Xenopus tropicalis: one gene and its partners. The protein of the gene in region 1 interacts with the protein of each later gene in a biochemical or structural test. Links are inferred from orthologs where the notes say so. Each region holds a gene or a part of one and is shown on either strand. Other genes may lie near its edges. The genes, in order: chaf1b, asf1a and asf1b.

What was found.
Region 2: the proteins of chaf1b (region 1) and asf1a form a complex in vitro, tested with the Homo sapiens proteins (2 studies listed by BioGRID and IntAct). The link is inferred for Xenopus tropicalis from reciprocal best matches to the Homo sapiens genes CHAF1B and ASF1A.
Region 3: the proteins of chaf1b (region 1) and asf1b form a complex in vitro, tested with the Homo sapiens proteins (2 studies listed by BioGRID and IntAct). The link is inferred for Xenopus tropicalis from reciprocal best matches to the Homo sapiens genes CHAF1B and ASF1B.

What each region holds. Positions count from the first base shown.
Region 1 is NC_030678.2:12,925,910-12,929,563, forward strand, and holds part of chaf1b (chromatin assembly factor 1 subunit B), read right to left. Parts: intron 3,216-3,654; coding exon 3,131-3,215; intron 2,600-3,130; coding exon 2,506-2,599; intron 1,364-2,505; coding exon 1,294-1,363; intron 1,175-1,293; coding exon 1,086-1,174; intron 959-1,085; coding exon 796-958; intron 1-795. UniProt on the Homo sapiens protein: Acts as a component of the histone chaperone complex chromatin assembly factor 1 (CAF-1), which assembles histone octamers onto DNA during replication and repair.
Region 2 is NC_030681.2:73,630,835-73,633,927, forward strand, and holds the end of asf1a (histone chaperone ASF1A), read left to right. Parts: intron 1-1,176; coding exon 1,177-1,353; intron 1,354-1,878; coding exon 1,879-2,091; 3' UTR 2,092-2,514; downstream 2,515-3,093. UniProt on the Homo sapiens protein: Histone chaperone that facilitates histone deposition and histone exchange and removal during nucleosome assembly and disassembly.
Region 3 is NC_030679.2:134,227,188-134,231,485, forward strand, and holds the start of asf1b (histone chaperone asf1b), read right to left. Parts: upstream 2,904-4,298; 5' UTR 2,855-2,903; intron 1-2,854. UniProt on the Homo sapiens protein: Histone chaperone that facilitates histone deposition and histone exchange and removal during nucleosome assembly and disassembly. Cooperates with chromatin assembly factor 1 (CAF-1) to promote replication-dependent chromatin assembly.

The DNA of each region.
Region 1 (3,654 bases):
GTGAAACCCCAAGTACAGAAACTAGAACTGATAACATGGAGAAAATATAGGTTTGAAATCAGATGGTCAATTTTTCTTCCTTTCCTGGAAGCTTTCAGACCGGTAACTATAGAAACTAAAATTTTACTACGGGCTGGTTAACCTTTAAATTGACTTTTAGCATGACTGATATTTGGTGACAATTTGCAATTGGTTTTCATTTTTTATGGTCTTGTTTATTTAGCAGTTTGTTTAAATGTACTCCAGTTAGGATTTTCAGCAGCTATCTGGTTGTTAGGGTCTTGTTTACCTTAGCAGCCAGTTAGTGGGTTAGGGTGGCAGTGGCTAAGAGATAGATCTCTGCTATCACGGGTGACTACCACTCCGAAACAGCTTTTCACCAGCAACAATAGGAGTCACCGGTGGAAAGCTTTGAATATGAAAAGGAGAGTAAAATGATAAGTAATAATAATAGTAAAATTGCAGCCTTACTGCAAAGATGTACAAGAGGGAAGCAAATAATACAAAATATAAAGACCAATTGCAAAGTTACTAGGAATAGAACATTCTATAACATACTAAAAGTTAACATTAAGGGGTGAAGCACCCTTTTAATGGGGGTGTTCAATGTAGCACCCTATAAGCTCAAGGTCTTTTGGGTGCTTGGAAGGACATGTAGGAAACTGTAGTACCTGCCCCTATACATTGGTCATATTCAGAGTTTCTCAGTCAGTAAAACATGTAACCTAGGGGCTGGGTATGGTATAGGCAGGGAGCCTTTAGTGCCCTGATATGATAATCTGTACATGTACATACCATGAAATATCGCTCAGTGTGTGATAGTGCACATTAGACACGTAGCCAAAAGGGAACAGCTGCTGTGTATCATAGAATAGAACAGCGTCTTCTGAGGCGACAGCAAACACCATACGGTATGGCTGGGTGATGAGACCCTGCGGTTGGGACTCCCCAGAATCATCTTTTTAAAAAATAAATAATAATAATTTAATTTCATGTTATTGACATTTTCCCCTCCCGGTTCCTGGGATAAGAGGTTTAATCTCTGGATGTCCCAGCATGCTTTGTGATGCTCCCTAGGATCATACCTTTTACAGTTGGTCTCAGCTCAAAGTAAATAGGACAGCAGCGCACAGCCAGGGTGGCCTTTGTTGGGCAGGGGAGATGTGCCATTGGTCTAGGGAGATAAAGAAAGAAATATATCAGAAGACAAGGGGCTCATTCAGCTGGGCAACCCTTCTGATATTGTTGCTGGGAGGATGCTGGCAATCACAGGTTATACATCCAGGAACTTACCGCTTTAGGTTCTTCCTAGAGAAGACGTACGTGGTGTTAATGACCGACTCCCCGGATTCCACGCAGCCAGCTGAAAGCAAGAGCACAGAGCTAAGCTGAACGCAACACTGACACTGAATTGCTTCCCCTGCTGCTTTTGTGCAGTTGCACAACTTCCAGCTGTCTGGGCCTGTGACCACCCTTAACTAAGGATCATGGGAGTAAAAATTTAGCAACAACTAGTTTGCATATCTGTGTACTTATTTGCCTGCTGAAAAATGCTGGCAGAGAATATGCCCATGGTGTTTGCTACAGAAACCCTACTATAGTTTATATAAATACCCCGCTGTGTAGCCCCGGGGGCAGTCAATCCTGCACTGGTACAGCTGGGGTGTTTGCTACAGAAACCCTACTAAAGTTTATATAAATACCCCGCTGTGTAGCCCCGGGGGCAGCCATTCCTGCACTGGTACAGCTGGGGTGTTTGCTACAGAAACCCTACTATAGTTTATATAAATACCCCGCTGTGTAGCCCCAGGGGCAGCCATTCCTGCACTGGTACAGCTGGGGTGTTTGCTACAGAAACCCTACTATAGTTTATATAAATACCCTGCTTGTGTAGCCCTGGGGCAGCCATTCAAGCCGGAAAAAAGAAGAAATGGCACAGGTTACATAGCAGATACCAGATAAGCTCTGTAGAATACAATGGGAATCTATGCAACGCATCTGTTATCTGCTATGTAACCTGTGCCTTTTCTCCTTTTTTCAAATTGAATGGCTGCCCCCGGGGCTACACAGCAGCTTTGTTTATATAAACTATAGTAGGGATTCTGAGGCACACACACAACTTTTACCAGTGCAGGGCAACTTTGTTTATATAAACTGCAGCCACGCGTTACCATGCAACAGAATGTGTAACCATGAAGCCGGACTCATTAGCAGCTTGTGACTACCAGCCTGGACTGGGACTAAAAACAGACCCTGGCATTTTAAGTACATGGAGGCCAAAACAGCACTCCCCAGCCCAATAAATAGTGACTGTCTACGGCATCATACAGCAGCCCCTCTGGCATTTGCCAGAACCCACAGATTGCTGGTCCTTGAAGAGGGTATCTATTCTCAGATATAATTGCACTAGAACAGAATAATGAATGCTACTTGGGGAGAGGGGGAGCATCCCATAGAGAATGACATGGCAGGTGTGGGACACATAGAGAGGCACAGGGTACAAACCTGGGGTTATAAGCAGAGATCCATCAGGAGTGAAAGTCAATCTCCTAAAGAAGGACTTCATGCTGTCATCATGGTACATGCGGAAACTTTTTACCTGCCATGAAAACAAAACTAATGAATAATTCTGACACGCCCCAGGGGGGAGACAAAGACTAAAATATATAAGATCTATGTGAGCCAATCATGCAAGGATACTGCTAATCGGCCACTAATCAGAGCACATATGTTACAAAGGTGAAATCAGTGCAAGTCTGAAGCTGGCCCATACATTGCAAGATCTGCTTGTCTGCCGAGGCCACCAAACAAGCAAATCGTTCTCCAATATGCCCACCCTGGGTTGGGTGGTATTGGGTTGATCCAATTGTCTGACCTTGGATCATAATTGCTGCTATGCTGATATCTGTGCACTTTGATTTTTCCCGCTGGATTGAGGACTGTATGTGTGCATTGATGTGGTCCTTGATCCAATGGGAAAATCAAACTGCCCAGATATCGACTGAATAGGCCCATTGAAGGGCCCCGTACTCAGTCCATAGGCTGCTTTTATCAGCCCTTGTAGAGCCACGTGTAGGCACAGAATAGTCTGTAGAAGCCAAAACGGGCACAGAGGGAATAAAGGCAATACCTCTCCGTCAGCGCCAGGAGCAGACGCCATCTTGCTCACGTTATAAGCAACTCTCTTGGTCTCCGTCTTGTAAACTCGCATTATCCTGAAACACAATCACATGAGTGAGGAACTGCACAGAATTGGCTGCCATTCACCAACCCAAGACCATTTTAACCATAATTAGGTAAATCCTTTATTTAAAGGACAACTCCAGCATAAGAAAATACAATTCTAAGCAACGTTCCATTACGCATTTTCATTGGTTTTATATTGATGTGGAAATGTAATTGCCAGTGAAAGCAGAGGCTGCCTGCCCCTTTCTTTTCTCTGGTTCTGACACTGAAACAATGTAGCAGAAGTCAGTTTTTCTTGCAGCTTCATTAAGCAGCTGGCTTCTGCTACATTGTTTTAGGGGTTAGAGCCAGCAGTGCAGAAAATGTCACACAGATACTGCTTGTAATATCAGTTATATTTACATATAATGACTTGGATTAAGTATATTGGAGAGTTGCTGCATGATGAATTTTTAATATTGCCTATAA
Region 2 (3,093 bases), on another chromosome or scaffold:
CTGATGTCTCTGTCTCTATGCTCCTGCCTACCATGACTAATTTCCCCCAAGAATTACGTGTACAGACAGACAGTGTGTCAATATATAACATGTCAAGGACTGCTCCCCACTGAAGTTTGACAGCCACATAGCTAGTACACTTTAAGGGCTTTGGCACACAGGGAGATTAGTCGCCCGCGACAAGGGAGATTTGTTGCGGGCGACTAATCTCCCGATGTACCAAAGCCCTTAAAAGTGTACTTGCTATGTGGCTGTCAAACTTCAAACTTTTTCCTGTCAAATCTCCAGGAAATGCCATCCCACCGGTGAGAATGTAAATTGCCGGTGGGATGGCATATGCAGTGCTGCGATTTCCATTCTCGCCGGTGGGATGGCATTTCGGGGAGATTTGTCGTGGGCGACTAATCTCCCCATGTGCCACAGCCCTTAGTCCCAAGTGTCTAGAAAGAAATGGCATCTTGCAGATTAGTAATGGATAGATATGCACTCTGTAATAAAATTGCAGTGAAATATCTGCTACTTGTGGTACAGGAATTAGTCTGCACAGTGGATGTACTATGTAGTGGCAGCTGTACTACACATTCTGACCAACTAGGCAGAGATGTACAGATTCTTCAGTAACTGGGAAAAAACTAAATATCAAGCCCCACTAATTAATCATATCTGCTTCCTAGAGAATCAATTTTTCTGAAGCTTAAAGGAGAAGGAAAGGCTAAGTCACTTGGGGGATGCCAAAATGTTAGGCACCCCCAAGTGACTTTAATCGCTTACCTTGTACCCCGGGGCTGGTGCCCCTGTTAGAAGAAAACCGCACCAGCCCTGGGTAGCTGTAGCGGAGCGCTTCCTTCTTCCGTGTTTGCTCTGCCGGCAAAATACCTGAGTGAAAAGGTGACTTCTTGTTAAAGTTCAGCTTTTCACCCTACTGCGCATGCACGAGCGCGAACAAGGAAGAGGAAGCGCTTGCTGCAGGCACCCGGGTTGGTGCTGTTCTCTCCAAACAGGGGCACCAGCTCGGGGTACAAGGTAAGCGATTAAAGTCACTTGGGGGTGCCTAACATTTTGGCACCCTCAAGTGACTTTGCCTTTCCTTCTCCTTTAAGGAAGAATCAGTGTGGAGCCGAACAGTAGATTCTGACAGAGAACATTTGTAACTGCTTTGTCTCCATCTTTGTTTAGGCTGATGCCCCCAACTCAGGCCTTATACCAGACGCAGATGCCATTGGTGTAACAGTGGTGCTTATCACATGCACATACAGAGATCAAGAGTTTATCAGAGTGGGCTATTATGTTAATAATGAATATACAGAAACAGAACTGCGTGAAAACCCTCCTGTGAAACCAGACTTTTCCAAGGTAAAGAATTTACAAACTCTGCAATAAATAGTTTGAAAAACAACTGCCAGGTGATGTAATGTTTATTTTGCATTGTTGGGACTTCACATTGCGGATCATGATCAAATGGCACAGATGCAGAAGTGTCACCTAACTGCAGTAATATGGTGCACAACACAAACCCACTACAGTGGCTTCTAATGCCTTCCCATCAGAAATAAAGTGAATCACCGGTGGAAAGGCTTCCGCACCTCTAACATTTCCAAAGTCGCATGTTGTTTCCTACTGCAAACAGAGTCGAGGTCGGCCTGAAAAAGCAAAAGCAGGCATCTTCAAGCCAACCTCTACTGCGTGTGCCTGCATGGTACATACAATTTTACTTTTATGTCCAGGTCAATGGAGCTGGTTAAGGGAGCCGTTCCGCTTCTCTCAGCCTGAAAAAAAAAAAATGCAGGCTGAGGGCAGTGGAACCAACAGTCCATGTACCCTCAACCTAAAAGGCTTTCAATTATCATTTAAATCATTTACATTTTCTCTCTGCTGCAGCTTCAGAGGAACATCTTGGCATCAAATCCTAGAGTAACCAGGTTCCACATAAACTGGGAAGAAAATACAGAGAAGCTTGATGAACTTGAAGATAGTAATCCTCATCTGCATCCAATACTGTCAATAGAAGCCAGACCTTCAGCTTCAAAAGGATGGCCTATGTCAGAGAACTCTTTAAATGTCATGCTAGAATCGCACATGGACTGCATGTGACTTTACTTTTACATCTTTCTACTTTCAAGCCAATGGGAAAATTGCACTTTGCAACACTATTTTCCAATAAATAGGACACCAGGAAACATGTCCTTGGCAGAAACCTTTATCAAAGGGTGGAAACAAAATGTGAACTAGGGGGAAAAGTTTTTAAAAAATCTATTTTTAATTATTTTTGTTTCTGCTTAAGGCAGGTATCTATCAGCTATTTTCCAAACTAGTTAGAACATGCAACTGCAGCACATTTTGCTATTTATTTGGAGATGTATTGTTTTCTGATATTTTGCTGAAATAAATCTATGCTTGATACCACAGACCTGACATATGCACACTGTGGGCCATCCACAGTACATCCTATTTGATTACATAAAATCTATTTCAGATGGATTCTATTCTTACAACAAATAATGCCTTTATAGTTTACTTTCTTGTTAAAAGGTAATTATTTACCAGTTTTGGTTTTATAAACAATACATGTTTTGCATGGTTTTTCTTTTCAAGCGAAAACCAGAGGGTGTTATATCTTTAAAATTTTACAATTGCTAATGCCAAGCAAGCAGTTGGCTATTTAGCCATTCGATATAAAATAGTTTCTTCTACAGTCGGGAAAAAAATATGCAGTCCCTTTGTAAACAACTCTAATCCAGTATTAAAGGACAATGAAAGGTTAATATAAATTAAAAGTAAATCTAAACGCATTCTTTTTAAGTACTTACTGCATATCTAAATTCCCAGATCCCTGCTTGCCTCTCTGAGATATGGTGCTGGCAGCCTACAGCAGTTAGAAGACTACAGTGACATCACTGAAATCTCTTTCCCCTTCCTGTAGGTGCCAGCGGCAGCCTTCCTATTCTCTGAGCATGTGTGTAACTTGATCCTGTCTCCTGGTCTGAGATACACATGCCCACCAGCCAATCAGAAGCGGATCTGGCAGAGGGGAGGGGGGGGAGGGAATGAAACATGTGCAGTATGAAGCAAGGAGGGAAAGGAAGGGAGAATACC
Region 3 (4,298 bases), on another chromosome or scaffold:
AATCTGGTCATTAATTTTTTTGCAAGGGTTAAATAGGTTACTAGAAACAAATAGGAAATAAGTTTGAAAATCAGCAGTTCCTAAAGAAAAGCATTTCAAGAGCATATATCTTTAAGTGAAAAGGTATGGCAGTCTTTCTGTGAGAAACTGCATTCTGAATTGCATTTCTGGCACTTATTATACTCTGTACTTGCCCTTCTCTAACAGAAATACAAGAAGCCTATGTGTGTGTAAGGGTGAAGACACACTGAGCTACTAGTAGCAGCTATTTTTAATGGCAACTAAACTCCAGAAAATCCCCTGACATAGACAATACTGAGAATTGCCTCTGCTAACACACAGACTATCAGTAAATGATCAGCATTGTCTATTTTAGTAGCCACGACAAGTTGCTGCAACTAGTAGCTCTGTGTGTCTTCACCCTTACACTGCACAAACCCTTTCCTTAGCCTCTATTCCCCCCCATTCATCCTGATATCTGAAAGTCAATTAGAAATAAGCTCGGCTGTGCACCCCACAAATCAGTCGCTGGATTTCCCAGTTTGCTCAACAGGGGACTCCTCTCTATTCCGCTCAATATCCTCTTCACTCCTTGGAATCAGTCGCAGACACATTACAGTGAGATCCTGCCATGCATCGAGTCAATCATTTCTGCATTTAGACGAACACCGAATTTAAAATATGGGAAAAATTCAAACCACGTCACCTTCCATAAACTAAAAACACATGTCACACTTAGCTGCCCAAAGCTTTAAAGGCACACAACTAAGGGGTTGAATGAACACCTAGGGGTATATTTATCATGCTGTGTAAAGAGTGGAGTGAAACATTACCAGTGATGTTGCTCATAGCAGCCAATCAGATGTTTTGCTTTGGTTTTCTAACTGTTGAAATCTAATTGCTGATTGGTTGCCCTGGGCAACATCACCGGTAATGCTTCACTTCACTTTTTACACAGCATGATAAATATTCCCCCAAGTATTTAGCTGAATCCTGCAAAAGGTGCCTGGATTTGGCCAACTCCTGAACTGAGCGTTTCTCTAGTAGGAAGCAATGGCACGGGAAGTTTTAATGCTGCCCAATAGCCGTCTGTTTGCGCTGCCGGCAGTGCTGTTCCCACTGTTCTGTCAGGTTAACAGACAATTCTATGATGTCTCCTACTCAAGCCTTGTTATCATATTACAGCATGCATTACATGTTCAGATCCCCCCCATTACAAGGTAGAGTTACTGGTGTATGCATATTATAGCAACAAAGGGAAGCCCTGTGGGTACGATATACTGTGAAATGACCCCAATGACCAGCCACATTCAACTCGCTACAGGCAGTGGGACAGTTACTTCTTATAGCACATGTCTGAGGGCCAATGGGGCCTTTGGGAGGAGCGTGGGGGGCACATAGATCCCTTAAGGTGGCCATACACGCACCGATAATATCGTACGAAACCTCGTTTCGTATGATATTCAGTGCGTGTATGGTATGTCGGCGAGTCGACCGATATCGCAGGAAGCTGCTGATATCGGCCGACTCGCCGACCGGACCAGTTTGAAAATTTTATGGCGCCTGACCAAAATCTCCCTTCAGCTCTGAATCGGCAGAAGGAGGTAGAAATCCTATTGTTTCTACCTCCTTACCTGCCGATTCAGCCCTGAATAGTGTGTGGCGGATCTGACGATGTTTCGTGCGACCGATGGTTGAACGAAACATCGTCAGATCGCCACGTGTATGGCCAGCTTTAAGGTGGCCACACACGTGGCGATCTGCGATCTTTTGTGCAACCATCGGTCGCAGGAAAGATTGTCAGATCCGCCACTAACCTTCAGCGCTGAAACTGCAGGTAAGGAGGTAGAAACAATTGGATTTCTACCTCCTTCTGCTGATTCAGCGCCGAAGGGAGATTTTGGTCAGGCGCCTTCTATGGCCCCCGATCAAAATCTTCTGACGTTGCTGGTCGGCGAGTCGACAGATATCAGCAGCTTCCTGCGATACCGGTCGACTCGCCGACTTGCCATAAACGCACTGAATTTCGTACGAAACCAGGTTTCGTACGATGTTATTGGTGCGTCTATGGCCAGCTTTAGATCTGGCCCACGGGCCCCAACTTGGCTACTGCCAACATGAGCCCCAATACTAACAATGGGATCCCCTAAATATGCTACTCACATTCCAATGAAAGCAATGTTAACCGAAGTAGCAATTATTTCTATATAGGTGTCACACTGGGCTCAGACAGGACTTTCATCCAATAACCGGTTACAGGAGGAGGCTCACAATAATAATAGTAACAGGTTATTATAAGCACCAACACATACTGCAGAGCTGTACAAAGCCATAACTAAGTATCCCTATCAGTTAGTTATCCCTATCAGTTAGTTATCCCTATCAGTTAGTTATCCCTATCAGTTAGTTATCCCTATCAGTTAGTTATCCCTATCAGTTAGTTACCCCTATCAGTTAGTTACCCCTATCAGGCAGCCCCCAGGGCTGAACTACAACTCCCAGCAGCCACAGACACACAGAAGCTTAACAGAAATAAAGTGCAAGCCTTTATGCCAACTAGTGATACAATTTGTATGTTGAGCATTAAACTATTTTCGGATGTTGGCCAAGTGCAAGACTGAGGGCTCCCTATACAAGTATATTCCTATATAAGTTATAGGCACACATTAGCCACGCCCCTGTGAGTAAACACGTACAGGGAAATGGGGATTATGGACACACAGGTAGGGACTATTAGTTCAGCCTGTGGCCCCCGAGTTAATATTCTACAGAGACTTGTAGTTCACCAGCAAGGTGGGCATGGGGGGAGTAAGAGTGGGCTGACAGCCCGGAGTAGAAAGGAAACAGCACTCACCTGTTGTGGCGTCTCCTCCTTCCCCGGTATGCCCGGCTGTACCGCTCCGTCCCACACAACCGTCACAAACAGCCCGCTCCTTCTTTCCCGCCCTCCGTTTTGTCTCCCGCGCCTCGCTTACAACCTCACTCCAAACGCGCCCCCCAGCCCCGCCCCCTCTGAGCCGCAAGCCCCTCCCTCTCACCGTCAAGCAACAACCAATGACGCTTCTGGATAGTGTGAAACGCATAATCACCCCCTATCTATGCAAGCCTGTAAACAGGGGTATAATGGCTCTCCCCCACGTACAGCCGAGTCTGCCTTACCAAACCAGTACATTAAACGGATTCGCTTCCTACGTCTAAAAGCCGTTCGAAGTCGTTGCCAGCATTAAAGATGGCCGCTGATTCTACCAGCTTTGGTCACATGGTCGGGGCTTGTCAGTAGCTCTCACGTTTGATTGGAGCACGGTGTTTGCTTCCCGCGCCGTTTGACGTTCGTTCCCGCGTCGGGCATTATCTTCCGGCTTAGGCTGACGCAACTTCCGGATAGGCAGGTATTGCGCGGGAAGTAAGAATGCGTGGGGTAGGTAATGGGGCGCTGATAAATACCATGACGCACTTGTGAAGCTGGGGTGTAACGGAACCGGAAACAGACTAGGGGCGGCCGAGTAGGGTACTTACTGGTAAACATTTTCCTGCCATATATTTGTTTTGTTGCACTAAACCATTATTTACACCTTAAGCATTTTTTCTGGATAAAAAAAATACAGGCTTTCATTTATTTGTGTGCATATTCCCTATTAATAAGGTTGGCATCAAGCATCATTTTTACTGCTTAGGTGGCAACCTTGCTTCAGCAGTGTGGGCAGTATATGTATTTATACTGGGAACTGGCACTTATATTGAAGTGTCACCCACTGTGACCTACAGCACTTACATTTGCCTATTTGTGTCTGTAAGTTACCCCTCCCATATAGATTGTAAGCTCTACGGGGCAGGGACCTCCTTCCTCTTGTGTCCTCGACTCTTATCTTATTGCAACTGTATCTTGTATTTATCTGTATTTATTGTTATACTGTGTATTTATCTATTATCTTAATAACCCCCTGTTTGTATTAATGTATTCTACTGTACAGCACTGCGTACATAAGTAGCACTTTATAAAGATATACATACATACAGAAACAAAGGCTGCGCTATAAAGTTTTATATTTCTATCAGGCTTGTTTAACCCCCCCCCCCCCAGCCTCTGTAGGGAATTCTGGGAATTGCTGTGCAACAAAATGATAGAAGGAACGCAAGATGGCTGTTAGAGGCGGATGTAACCGCCTCAGCCTTTATAGGCGCTCACGCCATAATTCATCGTTTCTAATGCTGTGTGAGAGGGAAATGGCTCTGCTATGTCTAGTCAAGGATTAAAGGGGACCTGTCACCCTAAGAAATAAGTCCAAATTGTTTTCTAT